Linked DNA regions of Astyanax mexicanus. The main gene of each other region encodes a partner of the protein of the gene in region 2 in a complex. Links are inferred from orthologs where the notes say so. Each region holds a gene or a part of one and is shown on either strand. Other genes may lie near its edges.

Region 1 (9,805 bases), on a different chromosome or scaffold from region 2:
CTCCACCGCGGGTCTTCCCGGATAGAGCCGCGTTCCTATCCGCTCTGAACGCGGTTAGCCCGGCTAGCTGAATGCCGCTGTCCGGAATGTTGTCGTTCAGCCACGATTCCACAAAAACCAAAGCACAGCAGTCTCTGAACTCACGCTGGGTTGTTCGCTGGAGTCGGATGTAGTCCAGTTTATTGTCAAGGGAACAGACGTTTGCCAGAAAGAGCGATGGTATAGCCGGCCGGCTAGGACTAGCCTTTAGCCTCGCGCGGATCCCAGCTCTCTTTCCGCTCGCACCGCTTGCGATGGCACTTCCGCTGGGCTCTGGCGTCAGAAAACACAGCGGGCTGGCGGCCTGGGTCTCTTAGCAGGCTAAGCTCAAGTAGCGTCTGCAGAACCTCGTCCGGTAGCGTGTTTTCTGGCTGATTTCTCCACTGTAGCAGGGTCTGGCGGTGGTAGAACATGTGCACGGGTGTTCCAATGCACATATTTGCAGGAATTAAACGGAAAAAACGACAAATAGTAACACAAAAGCACCATTTAACGGACCCGGAGCGGCCGCTGCGTGTTAATGCGCCGCCATCTTGGGTGAGTCTGAAGAGACTCAAATCTGATTTTGTGCTCAGTGTGGCTCAGATCTGATTTTTTTCAACGTCTGTTTGACCGTGCCAGCTGTGCAGCTATAGCTGTAAAAACAGCAAAAGCAAACAGCCTGGCCTTTTTTCTCCTCTTCGACCCGATCACTGTTTACTCTCCACTCCAGCTAAAGATGCTCCACATATGAGATGCTAACTCATCCATTTCCCTTTATAAAACTATGAGTCGTCTCTCTAACATGACGTTTTTTGTTGTTGGTGAAGAAGGAGGCGTTTATACAAGTATTAATGTGCGCATGTGAGATTTTTCAGGTTCAGGGACAGATTTGTTCACATTAAACAGATACAGCTCACTTACATTTGGAAATCTGATTTAAGCAATGTGGCTGGTAATGTGAACATAGCCTAAGTCTCATTTAATTACACTTACCAAATAGTTGGAAAGGTTCTTCATTCTGTCCACCACACTTTTCATGGTCTTCAGAGGGGGTAAATATATGCTAACCTAAAAAAGCAAGCCAGAGTTACACGTTTAATACCGTGACTGGGAGAGAAAAGGAAATACCACCAGTATAACAAAGAGAGAGGTAATAGAATGGCTGCACTACCAAGAACAAAAGACAAATAATAACAATAATCACAGTTTTGACCCTAGCTATGAACTACCTGCTAAAGACTTTGTGAGAATTCTAATGTTTTTAAGAATCACTCGTTCACCTCAGTAGCACTATAACAAAGCTTATGTGGGTTTGAATGTCTACTGTTACTGATAATGCTGTTATAAGAAAATGTGACATTTATTTTTATTTTTTTTGACAAAAAAAGGCCAGACTGTTGGTGGATCACTTACATCAAAGTCCGGCACAGTAGGTTCCTTAAAGTCGTGCCAAAGTCTTTTGGGAATGATGTCCACAGGGATGTCATGAGTCACGATACGATTGATGGAGGACAGTGAAGGCTAGAATCAAAAGATCAAATAAATCAAGTCAGCAGAAGAAGATAAATGTCTGTTTAAAGATCAGTTGCTACTTCAGGATGAATTTAATCAATACCTTTATAGATAATTGTTTTAAATTACGAATAATCTAATAATATAATAGAAAAAATAACTAACTTTTTTATTGATTTTGAATAAAATGGATTGAACATTTCAATGTGATGCCATGGATGCCAATGATTTAAATTATACACATAATTAAACTCATGTTGGGCTCTTACCAGTTCTGCAGCTAAGGTGAGGCATGGACCATGCTTCTTTGTTAGTTTTATTTTGACAGACTTGGCATTTTGTGCTGTTTTTAAAGCTCTGGATAAGTTCTCCGGTGCAACTTCCAAGCAGATTTCATTGGCGTCTGCAGACACACCCTCCAACTGATATTCCTCAAAGAAATTTACCTAAAAAGAGTAAAATTAGAGCATGTAAGTTTTCCTCTGCTTATCTTTAATTTAGGGCTGCAACTAATGATTAGTTGGGTAGTTGACTAATCTGGAGATTATGTTTCTGATTAGTCAATTAGTCAATGATTATTTCTGCCATGCTCTCTATTTCTGCTTTCTGTGGGTATGGTTCCTCATCTTAGCTTTCTCTGTCTTTGCTTTAAATCGATAAAAACAACTGAACAAGGGACTTAAATGTCCTTTAAATGTCCAGAACTTTGCCCTTTAAATGTGGAAAGGGCTGATAATTAATGAGATAATGTGTAATCTGTTTGGGCAGTTTTGGAGATGCAAGCTGAGTTGCGTGTAAACTGTGTGAGGGCCCCCAGTACTTTGTGTAGTGCTGCAAATTAAAGATTATTTTTTATAATCGACTAATCGTTGCAGCCCTATTTCCCTTTATATCAAATGAACTTTATTTGTAGATTTTTTCTGAATCAACCACATTAAATTAGAGCATGTAAATTCCCTTTGCAGAACTGCATTGTTAAGCAAGTAAGAAAATATGGATGATGAATACAGCACGAGCTGACAAACTCTCAGTATTAGCTAAATTATCAGCCAATCACATATTTTGTCAAAAAAAAAATCTGATACTTATAAAAAGTGGATAAAGTTTTCCATCTCTAGCAACTACAGTTGTAACACTTTCGCATAATAACATCAGCTTAATCACTTTAAACTCACCTGTAGTAACTCACACCACATGCTGACTCCCCCATTGGCCACTTTTCCAGAAAGCACAAAGTACATGTTGTCTACAGTGAGCCTTAGCACACATGTCTTTGTGAGTTTTGTAATAGTGTTCACCACACCTGTAGAAACATTTATAGTGGGAATAAAAGCAATGTAAGAAATATATTTCACAGATTTTTTTTGAGATACAATATTTAATTTTTAGTATGCTTCACTGAGGAATTAGAGGATTGCACCAAAGCTTTATTGGAGGTAGTGTTGTAGCAAAAGAGGTAGAAACATAATCTTTGGTAGCACTGATAGCAATAACACTGACAAAGCAAAAGCAAAATGACAGTATTCTGACTCAAACTGAGCAAGGGTGCCGGAAAGGTGGTTTTTAGGTCAACTGTAGAGTGAATGTCATTTTACATCGATTTAACCCAATTCACAATATCAAGCAACTGGAGAAATTGTCTCTGCTGTGTGGATTGCTGATCATCAAAAACTTCACCTCAAACTCCATAACTCCCGAAAGGTACTGTATGGAGAACAATTCTTCTAGAGAACACGGTTCTGCCACTGCCACACAGCTCAATACAGCTGGGGGGGGCAGTATACACCTCTAGTCCACATCTGCCATTAGGCATGGTACCAATAGGTTCAGGTATAACTGCTCCAGCAGGCGGCACTTTTCTTCTACAGGGACTAAGAAAACTATTCCAGTTGAATCTACCTCATGAAGACACTGAGATTAAAATACCAAGAGTGTGCAGATCTGTCCTCAAAGGTAAATGTTCTACTTAGAAGAATCTAAAGTATAAAATATATTCTGGTGTGTTTAACACTTTTTTTCTTTACTAAATAATTCCACACGTTTTTCTGTATAGATTTAACGTTAATACTGTCTTCTAGGGGTGTGCCATATCGTATCATACATGATAATATCGCCAATTTTTTTTTATATCGTGAACGATATTATACTCTGAAATATCGTGCCATATGACCCACCCCTAATTATCATATCATAGTACTACTATATCTACTATAGACAGATTATATAACTTAATCCTGGATATATGGAGATATTTGGAGTGCTTTGCTAGTATCATGACATTCTGAATCATTCTGTTACAAATCTGATAAAATTCTTTTTTATTATATCTCAGATAGCCATATCATATTGCATGCAATAATAAAACTCTAAATATTTTTTTTCTAATTCAGTGTTTTGTCATATCATCAAAAGTATCGTTATCATGAAAATACCATGAAATATCGTGATATTATTTTAGAGCCATATCACCCACCCCTACTGTCTTCTGTGTTAGATTTAACTTACAATCTAAAAAAAATCAAACATATTAAATAAGAAGAGGTGTGTCCAAACTTGTGACTGGTACTGTAACCTATATTTGACATGGAACAAATATCGGTGTAGTTTAGTTAGCAAGCTAGGTTATCCAGATATCCAGATCCACTATATCCATGAACTATCTACACTACTTAGCGTTACAAAATATTTAACGTGAGCTAACCTAAATATCTGAGGGCTAAGAGACACAGCTAGTTAGCTAGCTAGCTTAGCTAGCGTATCTATGCACTTATACACTAAAACCGCGCAACTAGAAACTCGTACAGTCAGTTTTACTGACGGTATCTATCTCTTTACCTACGTGTGAAATGGTTGAGACATCCCACGTCGTTTATCTTCGCTCGAAACTTCATAATTATGCCTTTAACTCAGTAAACCCGCACTGCTGACACTACTACCCCACAACATCTACTGCTACTACTGACAGCCCGCCACTGATCTGAACACAGCAGCGCTCCCTCTGGAAACAACACTCTGATCACTGGTTCCGCTCCAGTTACAGCCTACACATCAGCTCTGTTTTTAGAGTTAAACCAGTTAAATATATTATCTTTACACAAATCTACTGCAGTATCAATTCAGATAAATTATACTATATATTATACTATATATATATTATACTAAATATATATTAAATGTATTATACTTATACATTATACTTATAACTTAAATCCTTTTCCCAAAAAAGTCTACCTAGATTACCTAAATTAGTGTTTTTTTGGTTGGTCTTTTAAGGTTAATGATGAAAACAACCTTTATTAAAGCCTTTCAGACCTGATGAAAAAAGAAATATAAATGCTGTTTCTGTCTGTAATGTGCTCAAAAACAGGATTCAGTGAACAAATACACAAAATAAAAAATAAATACAAAATAATCAAATATAATGTTTGTATTTTTTCTGTTTATTGCCGTCTTTGCTAAACACTTATTTGTATTTAATATATATTTTAATATAATATATATATATTGTAACATGGTATTAATTTTTTGTCCAACAAACATGGTAAAATATATAAATAAATCAAATTATAATCTTTGAGCAGTAAAATACCCATAACATGATGGGAAAAGGTGTCTAATTTATGGCCATATTAGCTGGAATGTTAGCTACCATGTCATACTTCAGTGAGCAGATTTTTATTTTTTCCAAATAAGTGGGTGGGGCTAATCTGCTGTTTGATTGGCTAGTAAAAATGTCTATTCTGAATAATATAAAATCAAATTAAATCATTTTTTTTATTTGTATAGTGCTTTTTACAGCTGTTGTTGTCACAAAGCAACTTTACAGAAATGTGATCACAGGACAGCGAATCAGGCAAAATATAAAACAAAAAAAATACAGAATACAGAACCTCCAGTGAGTGCGGAGGCAAGAAAAACTCCTTCAGAATATGGAGGAGAAAGAAACCAGGCCTCACATATAAGAAGGGACCATCTTACCATTGGTCAGAAAGCTTTTAAATGAATGTTAAAAAGACATCATACAAACCATGAAATGTCTTGGGTTCATAGTACTGTCTGCAATCAAATAGTAGTTAAAGAAAAAGTGTGAAACAGTGTATTTATTTTTATTTGCACTTGATTGGTTTAGCATATCTTGAGGACCAATTAAACCGATATATAGAACTATTATTTCTATGAATGAGGAACTTAAGTATGGGTCTAAAGGGTTAAACACTTAACATCTCTCAAATCTGAGTCAAGTATGCTGTCCGTGGCCATTGTGTTCTGTTACACAGGATTTCACAGTAGCAGTACACAGTAAAAATACACTGCTGGCTCTACTTTATGCTGAGACTCTGTGATTTAATGTTCCTCATTAAATGTGGCAGCAGAGAGTCCCCTTTTTCACAGGTTATAGATTTGCTTTATGAGATGTTGAAATACAGGTTGTTCACACAGTTCTGCTGGGAGTCACATTTTACTGCATATAAAAGTGTGTGTGGAGGTGCTTCACTTGATCCATTGAATAGAAAAAGGCATTTAAATGCAGCAGCAAAAAGCAATATAGAAAAGAATAAGCTAAGATATATTTACAAGAAAAAATACAACGCAATAGAAAATGATATGGTATCTGCAACAATGAGAGGTCAAGTAAAACATGAAACAAGAGTTTCAAGAGTGAAATACTGAAAGAAACGTTTCTAGTGTCTAGAAGTTTTGACTGCAGGACCTTTCTGAGCTGATCATGGTATAATGTGTAAGAAACTATTTTCTCTATATGCTTCCTAGTACTGGAGGTGTTCAGAAGAAGCTGGGTGAAACGCTTACCAGCACGTCTTTATTGCGGCCTAGTGACCACAATCAGGCCCATTTCCACCACAAAAATATAAATACTGTCTGGATGATACAGGGATAATTTATGCACTTGTCTAATTTTGTTTAAAGATTTATTTAACACTTTCTGTAAATCCTATAAACTTGATTTTACTTCTCAAAGATCACTGTGTTCATCTGCTATATGATATTTATCTGAAATTGCTGATCAGAACAACCAATGATTTTTAAAGGAAAATCATAAAAATTATCAGAGGTGCCCAAATTATTCATACCACTGTATGATTAAAAATTATATCACAATATTTTTGGTCACATTTTTTACATTTTCGGATGATGATATATTTTTTTATTAATATGAACAATATAAAAGTTTTAGAAAAACTGCCAAGAACACCCACATCTTTTCGAACAGTATTTTTGCCAAATCATGTACTGCACCCTGTAATGAACATCAGTCAGGGACAGATGCTGTTGATAATTTATATATATATTAAAATATAAGAAAATCATATCACTGTTATTAAAAGATTTTATACATAGCATGTTGCTATGATATTATTTTTAGGTGTTTTTTGAGATTTTGAGAGGTTATGTTGAGTCTGCTTTCTTGTGCGTTTATACGCTTTGGAGATGATTTTTACAAAATGTTTGTTTTTTAAGTTTTTTAAGTTTTTTTTTATGTTATCCAGAGAAAATGTCATTATTTTGAAAAATGGTATTCTGTACTGACACATCATGACTAACTGACTCAGCAATATGTTAAATCCAAACATTTAAAATAATTAAAGGAGAACTCTGGTGTGAAATTGACTTTGGTTGTAGTAAAGCTTATTAAAGATTACTAACCTTTATTGAATTTCCCACTCTGTTCTCCTGCAGCTTTTCGAAATCCAGCAATTTTGATCTATTTGTCCAAACACCCTTTAAACAGGGTGATATGGGGCATATTCTTGCCCCTGCAGATACATTGCTTTGCTTTTTACACCGTTATCCAGGCTCAAAGTAGCTCCACACCTCATTGGTAGAATCAGGAGAGCCTTGATATTTAAAACGATGAGGCATTAAGAACTTATTAAGAACTGCACAAGAAGCTTATTAAAAACCACTGTTTACAACCTGTAGCATAACCGACATCTCTGGACGCCGCAATCGTAAAGTAAAATCATGATCAGTAGAGTGACGAGCACTACTGATTAAAATATACTTTCTTTGCAAATTTTGTGTTTAATGTGAAGGATTGTAGATTTTTATCTTAAAGGACACAACAGTCACATCCTTCAGTTCCTCAGCAATGAAGAACATGTTTATTGGCTTCATTTAAAGGATTCTACTGAACAGAACAGCCTACAGTGACGCAACAGTGAGGAGATGCAGCCTTTCTGATCTCCAGCCTGGACTCCGGCATGCAAATAACGTACAGCATAAAGCCGAAGGTCACAACACGAGCAGGTGCACAGCATCCAGTTCACCATCCCAGGAGTGACCTGCCCCTCTATAGGCTACCCTGATTGGTCACTGTTGCTATGGATACCAGTCCACCTGCACTGATTTAATGCACATTGGGCAGACAGTGACAAACTGGCCAGTTACCGATCTCCTTCACTTCTTTAAAAGGCCGCTACTGCTGCTGGAACTGTGTTCTTAAATCAGTGAGAGATGGAGCAGCAGCTGCGGAAGGAACCCTTCTGAGGTCATTTCAAGATCAAGGATTTAATATGAATGTGCAAGAAAATGTGCAAGTGTTACACGAGAGCCTGAGATTACATCTAAGTGTGTGTGTCTCACAGGCAGTGAGGAAGGGAATGCATTATGCACATGCATTACCCTCTGTGGCATTTTATTTTCTATTGCTGTGAGTGAACCTATATCTTCATATTGCATATTACATTTTGACCGGGTGTGCATGTCAACTTAGAACTCATGTAAGAGTCACATATGGGCTAATTAATTTGAATAATTAATTAATTAAAAAATAATAATTTAGTTAAAAAGGCTATAATATGTTCAATGAGAATTTATAATTATAGTATTTTCTAAAATGCATAACTTAGTAATGTAAAACTTTTACAGAACATTTCTGTATTTTTGGCTTCCATCAGTAATATGTCGTTTCCTCTCATGCATGTTAGTAGCCAGATTGCTGCAACAGAGTTTTTAACCGAGCTTTATGAGTCAAGTGTAATGTTTATCTTTGATTTTTATAAGGGAACTTTAAAAAGAAGTTTTTGACTCTATAGTTTTATTTTTGTTTTGTTTCAAATACTGGTTGTTAGACTGACAGTGGTACAAAAAGATTTACACATTTCCACTACAGCTGATCTCCTGAAATTAGGACAGCTTTAGCTAGTATCTAGTGGTGTCAGCAGTAAAATACTGTACATATGTATGGATGTAATTTTCCAACATGATAACAAACACAAACACACAAGAAGACAACTGCTTTACTGAGGAAGCTGAAGACAAAGGTGGACTGAAGTATGTCTTTAGATGTAAATCCCAACTGAGCACCTCTGGGGCATCCTCACACAGAAGGTGGAGGACCGAAAGGCCTCTATCATCCACAAGCTCTGTGATGTCATCATGGAGGAGTAGAAGAGGATTCCAGTGACAATCTGTGAAGCTCTAGTGAACTCCTTTCCCAAGAGAGTTAAGGCAGTGCTGCTCTACTCAGTTTTCTTGCCGGAGTTTAGACATTAATGGCTGTGTCTTGAGTTATTCTGAAGGCACAGCAAATTTACAGTTATACAAGCTGTACACAAAGTACTTTACATTGTATTTTCAGTGTTGTCCAATGAAAAGATATAGTAAAATATTTAAAAATATGCTAGAGGTGTACTTACTTCTAAGAAATTATGTATGTATATATGTGTGTATATGTATAGTGATAAAAATAGACAGGTCATTTTATATAGGAAAAACTTGCAGGACAACTCATCTTACAGGAGAAACACAAACCATATTTTCCTGTTAAATTACATCCTCAATTCTAAGTTGGAGTGCTGTGTAAAAAGTAAAAAAATGTATATAAATGGGTTTATTCACAATAAAACATAGAACATCAAATGCATTTTACCATTTTATGAGAAACATTACAACATTTAGAAACAAAAATTGGTATAGAAACAGCATTTTAAATTGACAGAAAAAATGCACATATATTTACCAATCTACAAAAAAAACTGCACCTAAAAATTGTGTAAACAGTTTTTGAAAAAAGCATTTTAAGCATCATGCACTCGTATGACAACAGTGGCACAATGTTACATTAACATTTAAGATTATTTATAATAATAATACAAACCAATGGCAGCCTAGTAAACCACATTTACTATTCAGATTGTTTGTGTTTTTATTTGTACTGTATTTCTTTGCAAATAATTTCCTTTTTTATTGTATTTATTACATGTCCAGTTCATGTTTGTGGAGATTAAAATGCAATATCAAGTCATGAAGA
Region 2 (10,399 bases):
CCAATGAAAAACAAGTATCTGTGTCTACATAACATGAACACACAAACGGTTCCTTACACTGTGACAAAATAAATTCTCCAATATGACCTAAAATAAACTCTTTTGACTTTACTTTCATTGAAAGTTAAGAAGGTTTAATCTATCTCCTGTAAAGTTGCTGTTTTGGAGATTGGAGATTGTTTTACATTGGACAACGACATAATAGTATTAGTGTAAGTGTATATTTATGGATATATTCATGTATTATGTATTGGTCACACTTTGTTTGGGATAGGTAGACTTTGTCAATAACAATAATGTTTTTTTTTGTATCTTTGTTTGTGAAAATAAATTAACAAAGAAAGTAATATTTAATGAATTGGTCACACCTCTCACATTTGGGCTTTTTTTTTTTTTTTTACTATATTTCATACCAAAATTTTTCAGAACAAGCTGAATTAAGACGTGTATTTTGATTCTAGACTAATACACTCTTAAAGGTAAAGATGTCACAGATCTTTGTGTAAGTCCATGAGAGAATTCTATTAATACATGATATATGGCCAAATTTAATAGGAGTAGGATAGGAGTATTTTGCCCCTTTCACCTATGTTTTATATTCATGGAGAATATGAAGATTTTTTCTTGCCACTTTTATTTAATTTCAATTTCTGTTGATTTTTAGTATATTTTAATTTCTAGAAATCATACTGTACAGAAATAGGTGCTGTCTCAAGCCATACCTGAAGATATGACAAGTCCAAAAGAGGAATAACATCTTCATGCTGCACAGTTTCTGCTTGTGTTTGGTTTGGTTTAGGCAGTTGTGACTGGTTCAGAGTGTGTTGATTGGATGGCGACTCCTGAATACTTGTTTCTGCTGTTTTTGGCTGACAGTTTTGATGCATGTGACAGTTTTGATGCAATAACTGTGGCTGGTATTTTTGTTGTTTGTCATTTTCTGATTGGCTGAGACCCAAATCCATGCTGTGCGACTGGTCTAAACTCCAGTCAAAAAGTTCTGATTGGTCCTTGAGTAACTGGAAGGTTTGAGAGAAGGGCAGAATGAAGTCTGGAGTCTGTGTTTGGTCCATGGTGTGGTCAGAGGTGTGGTCAGAAGTGTCCATATCCTGCTGTAAACTGTCTGAGCTGATTTGTGATGAATCGGTTCTCAGATCTGAGGCATGTGGCCATTTAAAATCCCACATACTTCCTGTGTTCTGCTCTGCTTGATGTGATTGGCTAATATTGCTTTGTGAGTCTGTGGCTTTGTCTTGTTTGATGCAAGTGGGCTCTAATTGGCTGCTGGTACTGGACGGGAAGAACTTGGCCCACTCCTGACTGGTGAAAATCTCCTCCATCAGGTTAAAAGAGTCAAATGAGAATATGGGTTCACTGCAGGAAAACACAGCATAAGTTATGCATGTATGGACATGTATTGTAATGTAATGTATCTACTGTAATATAGGTCTAAATTACTCACTCTCCATTCTCCCTCACCCACTATTACTCAGTCACACACACACACACACACACACACACACACACACACACACACACATACACACACAGCAAAAACTCAGAGGGTGTGTTGGTTTCAGAAAAGAGAGTGACAGCGGTGTTGTTTAGGATGACAGCTGTGGTATGATAAATACGCCTGATTCATATTTCAGCAGAACAATGTCACTGCTATTGAATTTGTATTTACCTCATGTGATCGAGGGGGCTGGGAGGGGCTTTATCAGGCCCATTGTTGATTGGCTGGTGCTGGTCAATCCTTTCCTCGTCAATAAGTGCAGCAGCAGTGTTGGTGGAGAGTGCGTTTTCATTGGAGGTGTTGGGGCTGGTTGGGGTGTTTGGACAGTGGTTGCTCTGAATAAAGAAGAAAATAATGAAGAATGATCGTAAATCTGATTATAAATCTGCTTAAATTAAATAAATAAGCGCGTATGTATGAGTCAGAGTCTCAGTAAACATCTATAAGTAAAGACAGAACTTTCATATTTGTCTATGACAAATAAGTTTGCTTGGTTTTTATAGCAGCCCACACACAGAGCAGTCCACCGGGAACTGTCCTATGTACTCCCTATGGCCAGTCGATCTTTGGTTCTCACATAAGTTTCACCAAAGCCTCCAACCTTATGCTGCTTTAAAGTGTTGTCTAAAACGCGATAATACTATTTGTATTCTACAAACTTTGTAAACTGCAAACTTTCACCTTTGTTTTCAAACTAAGTTTAATCAGTTGGGATATAAAATCTTTATGCATAGTGGGAAAAAATGCAGATTTTTCTTCTTCATCTGTTAAATATGGGGGTGTATAAGTCACCCTTTTAGATTGTTTTGCACGCATGGAAAAATAAATTATTTAAATGCAGTAATATCACCACTAATGTTGATTCAAATTTACCTGCAACATTTAAGCCTAACCAGTTTGGTTTTGTGTTACCAATACATTGTTTGTTCTACACTTGTGGCTTTAATTAATGTTCTAATGGTCCGTGAAGAAAGTTCATATTGCTTGTGTTAGAGATAATGCTACTAAGCATCACATTTATCATTGAAAGATAAGAAGGCTATGATAAAAGGCCTAAAATAGACTGAAAGGGTTGCCACTCTCATCTTTTATTCATCTTTATTCACTTTCTTCACCTATCCAGTAAGCAAATATCAATTAGACTTTATCTATTTATTAAAACAACAGTAAACATGTTGAAAAAATAAATTATGCCATTATTCAAAAGCTCAACATTGTTACTGATATTAAAGGGTTTTTTATAGAGTATTTTACAGCAGGATAATTATACCAAACTTTCATTAAAATCCCCAAAGCAGTGCAAGCTGGTTTTACTGTGGCTGTTCAAACAAAACTTCCTAGAAAATACTTAAAAATAGAACTCAAAAGAGCAGCACGTTCAAGATAGCCCAAGAATCCCACAGAACCAGAACTTTTTGAAAAGAAGAATGGACATAAATCCTCCAAACAAGAACAGAAACAAGATTAGCTGGATTAAAAGGTGTTGAAAGTAAGGAAAACTTTCCTTACTTTTACAACTATTGACCATGCATCCCAAACATTTAGATCTGTGCTTTTCCTTTATAAAAGTTTAAAACTGTAAAAAAAAAATGGAAATACAAATATATTCTTGCTTAAAATATCATCTTTATGCCATTTTATGACTTCAGGTCATCTTTACTTTCATCTTTTTGAGTTGCCAAAATTTCTTCATGCCTCTGTAAGTAGATGCATATACTGACATGCCAGGAACTAGTATAATTTCCCATTACATTTTTCATATTGAATTAAAGCTAAAGAACACTGTATTAACCTAATGAGGAACATGTATGTGTGTCTGGTCTCCTTCATTGAATATGAATGTGATTGTGATTAAGCTTGTTTGTTCTCATGGATAATTCTAGCCAGACACTGCTGGTCACTATTATAACCACCCACTGCAGTGCTGTACACTTAATTTCAGTGTATTTGTCACGTCGTATATATGTATATTTCTTTATTTTTAAGGCATATTAAAGAATAGATTCAAGAATCTTAAAGTTTAAACTCACGTTAGGCACTTCTTTTGGTTCCTCTTTCTGTTTGGCACCTCTTTCTTTCTTGTGTCTCTCCTGCCATCTTTCTTTCACCTTCTGGGTCCATCTCTTCTGTCCTGAATTGCCCCATTTCCTCTTACTGGTCCTTGTCATTGGCGTCTGTGTCATTTTGTCTTCAGCATTTATACTGTCCCTTCTGGAGTCCCCTACACCTCCATTCCACACACCACTGAGACCATTTCGCTCCTGTGATGCTCTTCTGCCTGGGGTGGGTGGTGTGGGGGGTGGGACTGAGGAGCTGGGGGAGTTCAGGGTGGTCTGTTCTAATGTGTTTGTGGAGGACATGCTACGTCTGTCATCACTCACCTTTCTCAGAGTAAATTTGAGTTGCTTTCTCTCCCATTTGGGGAGATCATCATCATTCATTGACCAAGAAACAGGTTCTGGTGATGTAGGTGAAGTCCCAGGACTATGAGGCTCGCGAGATGTTTGAAGACTCCATGGACTCCCCACGTGTCTCCAATTGGATGGAGAAGTTCTTTGCTGCTTAGAATCAATGGAATCACCAAACTGGTACACAGCTGAACCTTCTCCAGACCCGCCATTAAGCTTCACATTTGAAGAAAGAGCTTGCTCTTGGTTGTGTGTCCTTTCAGTTTGGGTCTGGAGTTTCAGTCTTTGGAGCATTGACTGCAGCAAGGTCTGAGTGTCTGAAACAGGGCTCGACTGGGCCATCTTGAAAGTGAAAGCCTGCCTTACATGTTTTTTGCACACTCTCAAAGACCTTCAACACAACCAGATACCAGCAAAGTACTACATCCCTCACATACTCACATACACATCAATCAAATCCTGAGGCACATCCCACAGCAAGTCAATATGCTTCAGTTTTCCAGTTTTCTTACTTCCAGGTTCTTCATTATATTCCACTCATAACTCCTCACACTGTAGCTCCACAGTACCTCCTGGTACCTCCACACTGCTGCAGTTCCTTCTACATTCTGCTTCAGCTTCTCAAAAAGAGTGAGAAGAGTGAAGTGTGTCTGAGAATTGGCCCCTATTATAGGAAGGAATCATCAGTGTACAGAGAGAGAGAGAGAGAGAGAGAGAGAGAGAGAAAAGGCCAGGCCAGTCAGATAGGTAGGTGTGTTAAAGACAGACCCAGACAGACAAGAAAGACGAGTACGTCAAGTTGACATCTCTCCTTCTTCTATGGCATGTATATCACTGTTTCTATTTTTTTTCTTCAGGTCACTGTCACTGCAAAACCAGAGCTGTGTTTTAATTTGCCAATACATTGGAAGAATAATCCAATATATAACGTATATGGTATATCTTTAAGTAAAATGAACATTGTTTTTTTTAATTCTATAAACTATGGACAACATTTCTCTAAATAAAATAAAAATATTGCCATTTATAGCATTTGATTTCAGAAAACCAGAAATAGCGCAAATAACAAAAAAATGCAGAGCTTTCAGAACTTAGTTACAGAATCTATAATTAGACAAGTATTTAAACTGATAGACTCATCTGTTTTTCAAACTAAAAAAAATGATTACTCATTGTTTTCATTCCACTCATTGTTTTCAAGCCCAATTACATTCTGTCATGAAATCACTCCAACACCATGCATAGAGTATTCCACGTTTGCTTTATTTTCCACTAACTAGTACAGTGTGAGCTAACTTAACCCGCCAAGGAAGCCAAACCCCCCAGCCAACTCCTGAGCTGCCCACCAGGGATACTGGGTATTGTAGTATGGAAACATATAACACACATCACCACACATTCTAAATATGAAAACTAATGTTTAATGTTTATTTTTTTTTTTTTTTATAAAACAAATGTTAAACCAAGTGGGTTCAAAAACAGGTGGAAAACGAAAACGGGTGCGAAACGGAAAACAGGTGGAAAATTAAAACGGGTGCATAATGGAAACAGGTGCAAACTGAACACGGGTGGGAAACAAAAACGGGTGTAAAGCGAAAACGGGTGGAAACAAAGATCACGCCAGGCATAAGCGAGGAAAACAACAGGCAGGGTAAACAAAGGCTATCCTGGGACGCAAGACAAACACAATGGAGAGAAGCACGAGGGAGGAGGAACCAGGGAGAGAGGAGCAGGGGCGTAGCAGCAAATTCTGGGCACTGTACACTATTAATGTCATTGGGCCCCTATTCATGCCAGTACACAATGAACATGAAAAAAAAAATAGGATTTTTATGGGCAGTTAGGGTAGTTAGGTTCACTTTTAGGTTCACGACAGGGAACACCCACTGAGGAAACTAGTTAGAAACATTTTAAACTCAGTGCTGTATCAGTTTAGCTAACTACATACCCAGTCACAGTAGCAATACTGCTAGTAGCTCCTTTAGTGATTATAACCGTTTTTTGTAATAAAAATAAAACATACAGAAATGTTTTATTTGCTCTTTAGAGAAATATTCATTCTACTTTCTAAAATTAAAAGAATACCACAAATAAGTAGTTAATAACTGCTTTAAATTTGAGATTTTAACCGTGTAGCTTTATTCACCTGTATTCATGTAGGACTCCCTCTAGCGGTGCACAGTAATTTTCTGATATATCAGGGGTGATCTGGAGTGGACAGGCTCTCTGTAAACAAGCTGTGGTAGCCGATACAGGCGCGCGAGTATGACTCAGAGCGCTGTGATTGGTCCGGGCGAGGTTAGCGCGCGACTCAGGGGTCTGTAAACTGACAGCAGTGTTTAACTAAGTTTCTGAGATCAATATTAGTAGTTATTTACTGTTTTACTGTTATTATTACACCCAGATATTCTCTCAGCATGGCGTGTTTACTCACCGCTTCTCATGAGAACACGCGGGTCTCCTCCTTCGGGGTATGAGCTCTGCTCTCCTGTTCACACTGTAGAGTTACTGCATGGTGTTTATTTACCTGATCCGGATTAATGGAGCCGAATCTCTGACTGGACTGGTTTACCTGAACGCTACAGCAATAGCAGGATGGACTGCGTCACAACAGGAGGGAACGTGAAAGGTAAAGTAAGCGGTGAACCTGGTCTCGGTGAAGCTGCAGTTACTGCTTCAGATAACTCTATATTAAATCTTGTGGGGCTGCTACTAACGATTATTTTGGTAGTCGATTAATTGGACGATTATTTTTCAGATTAGTTATCGATTATTTCTGCCCTGCCCTCTAGCTTTGCTCACTGTGGGTATGGCTTCTGTTTCTAGCTTTCTCTATCGCTTCAAAATAATAGAAACATCTGAACACAAGATATAAATGCTGTTTAAATCTCCAGAGCTTTGGATAAATGTGTAAAGTGCTGCTATTGGGCACTTTTGGAGACTCAGGTCGAGTTCTGTGTAAGCTGTGTGAGCTCAGTACTCTTCTCCCACTGGGTTTCTGTCCACAGTAATTTGTTTAGTGTTACTAATAGGCAATTAGTAGACAATGATTATTTGAAGTCTACACGTTTTTTATAATCAACATTGTCGATAACATATCAACTAATGGCTGCAGCCCTAATAGCATAGAGATGCATCGATGTGGCAATACATCTGTCAATACTAATAATATACACATTTATAATTTACAGAGAGACTAGATTATCAATTAACCCTCTATGTCATGAATTCCATTTTTCAGAAGGAAATGAGAACTAAACCCCCTGATTTTAGCTGACTGTACCCCTCAGCTCAAATTTGGAAAATGCCCAAAAATTGGAGTAGTTTGGGAGGGGCATTTGGTGATGTATGGGTTTAGGGGTGGGGCAGAAGGGAGGGCTGATTAGGCTGAGCAATGTGTCTTATTGATTGACTAATTTGCATATCGAGAGTGTCCACGTTACAAAATTGCAAGGGTGCAATAAAAGCATTTAAAGGTTAGGGAAGGTTTATAAAAAAATTAGGCAGGACCGGTATGTTTCATTACTTTAAAGAAACTCATTTCAGCTACTAATGAAAAAAAAATATGGTTTAGGCCTTAGTGCCTCTTTAATGAAGAACGGAAAAATCCCTAAATGCAAGTGAGATAGCAATATATTTACAAAACAGGCTCTAGTAACATTGAGTGAGAGTAAAATATAACTTGTCACTAGCATTAGCCTGACTGATGGCTTGTTTTAGAACATTTAAACAGAGTTGGTTGACTTACTGGCCCACATTAGAGGGTAGCAATTTAGCTTAAATATAGTAGCGTAGCCACTGTTGGCCAAATGTATTAGTGCGGCCAGTGTCATGTGGTTCTTTCCGGAATACAATAAATACGTCAAGTATTGGTCTAAAATATTAGCCATATTAATTGATGCCGATGATTATAAAAAAGGTATAGGTTCAGCAACGGTATGTGCTGAAAGAATGAGGTTAGCTGACTTCCTGAATATACTGAATATAGACCAGGTCTTTCCATCAATGGATTTTTTTCTTCCCTGATGGCACAAGCATGTATTTAAAAAAGTGTATTAAACGTTATTTGCTGTATAGGAAATAATAAAAAATTATTTTATCTATAATATATCTCTATATAGTGTTTGGTGTTTTCAGTGTGTATCTTTGTATGTCATTTAAGGTCATGTCATTTGTATTTTGCAGTGCTGGCAAAAGCAATCCACTCACTTTCAAAGATTGGAGAGGAACTTTACCTGGAGCCTGTTGAAGATGGGGTTAGTGTTTGTGTATCTGTATAAGTGAATGTGGTTCAAGAATATATTGTAGTTTGGTTAAAAGTGCTAATTAATTGTTTTTGTATTCTACAGTTAACTCTGCGTGCAGTGAACTCTTCTAGATCAGCCTTTGCCTGCTTTCTGCTCTCTCCGCTGTTCTTTCAGCGCTATCAGGCCCCTTCTGACCATGCCTTCCGCTGCAAAATGCCCATAAAGGTAACAACCACACTTTCCTTTCCACTGTAGTTTATCCCGAAAAACTGTTCTAACAGATTAACAGTTTAACTGATTGATTGAAAGTTTTGAAACATCTGACCAAAATTGTGTAGATGTCCTACAGTCCTGTTACAGATACAGTCTGAGTAAACACATTATGATGTGTTGTTTTTGACAAGGGATATAGAATAACATCAAAGCAATATTGATATTGGCAAATAATTGCTTAATAATTGTTTAATCATTACTGAACCAATTAAAAAAAAAACACTTCTATATAGTATTTGCAGCATTAGCCTAAAATTTCCATACTGGTGCTTGACTAATATTTATGCATGCACAAAACCTGCAGTATTTGACTTTTAAAGTTTTAGATCCAAAATACTTGTGCACATTATGCGTTATTGCTATTGCAATAGGCCTGTCGCGATAACTACGTTATCAACTTATCGTACAATCATTTTTTAAATCGCAATCATTTTTGCAGATCGTCGATAATAGTCATTGGATTTTCGCATAGGTTTGTTAACATAAGAATAAACCGCAGCTAGAATTCAGCAAGTTGCGCTGTGCTGCTCTTTCGCCGGCTCTTTTGGGAGCCCAGAAGCAGGGAAAAAGCATTTTCTGTTGTGGCATTTTATACTGAGAATATTATCATTTATCTCAATCATTTCTGGCACAATATATCGTCCTGAAAAATGTGTTTATGCGACAGTCCTAATTGCAACTTGTGCAGGCCATTAGTTGTCTCTCTTATTCTCCCTTACAGAGCATGCAGGCCGTGTTTAGGTCTCTGTCCTCTCTAGAGCGCTCGGTGGAGAAGTGTCGTATTGAACTGAACAGTGAGAAGAATCGGTTGACTGTCACTTTACACTGCAAACATGGTAAAAACACTTCACATATGTACTTGGGATGTAAAAATCCACACATTATCATGCTTTTACATGTTTTTTGTCAGACGTAAAAATAAAGTTATGTAAAAATTATGTAATTTGTTATTGCATACTGCTAAGTAGCTGCAGTTTGGTTTGTAAGTTATTGTAGTGTTAGAGACTTAAAGTGGTTATATACCATAAACATTAGGAATTGCCACCTTTAAAATATATCAGATGTACCTATGTTTGTGTGTGTCTGTGTGTTTCAGGGCTTTTGAAGACACACAACCTCTCCTTCCAAGACTGCGAGAGCTTACAAGCAGTGTTTGACAAGGAGAACTGTGCTAACGTGCTGCGAGCCCAGCCCAGGTCTGCACTACTCTTTGAGTCTCTCTATTTCCTCTATCAAAAACTCTCCATCACGGCATCATTTTCTGACCAGTGTCTCTTTTCTCTCTGGCCCTCTTTGATTGATTATACCTCTCCTGTTTGCAGGTTGTGGGTGGACACAGTTTTGCACTTCCCTCCATCACTTGAAGAAGTGAATGTGTCTGTGAATGGAGAACGAGTGTGGCTCAGGAATCACTTGGAGGATGATGCAGGTGATTGGTTTGGGAGAGTTCCTGCTTATTTTGTTGTTCAGGAGACAAAGACAGCGTTTTTGTTGGGGTTACTTCGTCTGGATCGTATCTTGATACAATTTTAGCTACATACATTTACCCTTTGTAGTCCAGTGCATTGGTCAGACAAGGTCTGATTCTTGTTTGGGATGTAATTTGCTAATTATTTCATTGTGCTGCAGTGATTGTGATTGGTTTAAGCCAGGATGGGTTTAGGTTTCTGAACATGACTTGTAGAGGCGGGTGTGTTTAGGTCTTGTTCAGGCCCCAGTTTCCCAAAAGCATCTTCGTGTTAAGAACATCTTAACATGGATAGAGAGTGCTCATTGTGAAGTGCGCTTGACCATCTAAAGCCCTATTTGGACAGGATTAGTTTCTCAGGGGGTCCTGGGGTAATTTGATCTTTTATGGAGGTCCTCTGTGATTTTATTTCCATCTGTAGTGACCAAGTATGTGTTTTTTTTACAGGCTGATTTAATGTTTTTCGCTGAACTCCATCCAGTTCTTT

What was found.
Region 1: the proteins of rad9a (region 2) and hus1 are in contact, whole or in part, in a crystal structure (PDB 3GGR), measured with the Homo sapiens proteins. The link is inferred for Astyanax mexicanus from reciprocal best matches to the Homo sapiens genes RAD9A and HUS1. Residues at the interface, in NP_004575.1 of Homo sapiens: Leu157, Pro158, Pro161, Val176, Ala186, Lys191, Ala192, Met193, Val194, Thr195, Glu196, Met197, Cys198, Leu199, Gly200, Asp203; in NP_004498.1 of Homo sapiens: Thr84, Asn87, Arg90, Ala91, Lys93, Thr94, Phe110, Ser121, Ser123, Ser126, Arg127, Ile128, Val129, Thr130, His131, Asp132, Ile133, Pro134, Ile135.

Annotation. Positions count from the first base shown.
Region 1 is NC_064408.1:108,691,137-108,700,941, forward strand, and holds the start of hus1 (checkpoint protein HUS1), read right to left. Parts: upstream 4,526-9,805; 5' UTR 4,425-4,525; coding exon 4,373-4,424; exon of another isoform or gene 4,369-4,372; intron 2,837-4,368; coding exon 2,709-2,836; intron 1,980-2,708; coding exon 1,803-1,979; intron 1,543-1,802; coding exon 1,435-1,542; intron 1,090-1,434; coding exon 1,015-1,089; intron 1-1,014. UniProt on the Homo sapiens protein: Component of the 9-1-1 cell-cycle checkpoint response complex that plays a major role in DNA repair. The 9-1-1 complex is recruited to DNA lesion upon damage by the RAD17-replication factor C (RFC) clamp loader complex.
Region 2 is NC_064417.1:22,988,052-22,998,450, reverse strand, and holds the start of rad9a (cell cycle checkpoint control protein RAD9A), read left to right. Parts: upstream 1-6,203; 5' UTR 6,204-6,519; coding exon 6,520-6,553; intron 6,554-8,109; coding exon 8,110-8,180; intron 8,181-8,273; coding exon 8,274-8,396; intron 8,397-9,165; coding exon 9,166-9,280; intron 9,281-9,540; coding exon 9,541-9,640; intron 9,641-9,766; coding exon 9,767-9,873; intron 9,874-10,399. Other genes in the region: zgc:113229 (protein starmaker), read right to left, coding at 723-1,374, 1,688-1,851, 3,547-4,266. UniProt on the Homo sapiens protein: Component of the 9-1-1 cell-cycle checkpoint response complex that plays a major role in DNA repair. The 9-1-1 complex is recruited to DNA lesion upon damage by the RAD17-replication factor C (RFC) clamp loader complex.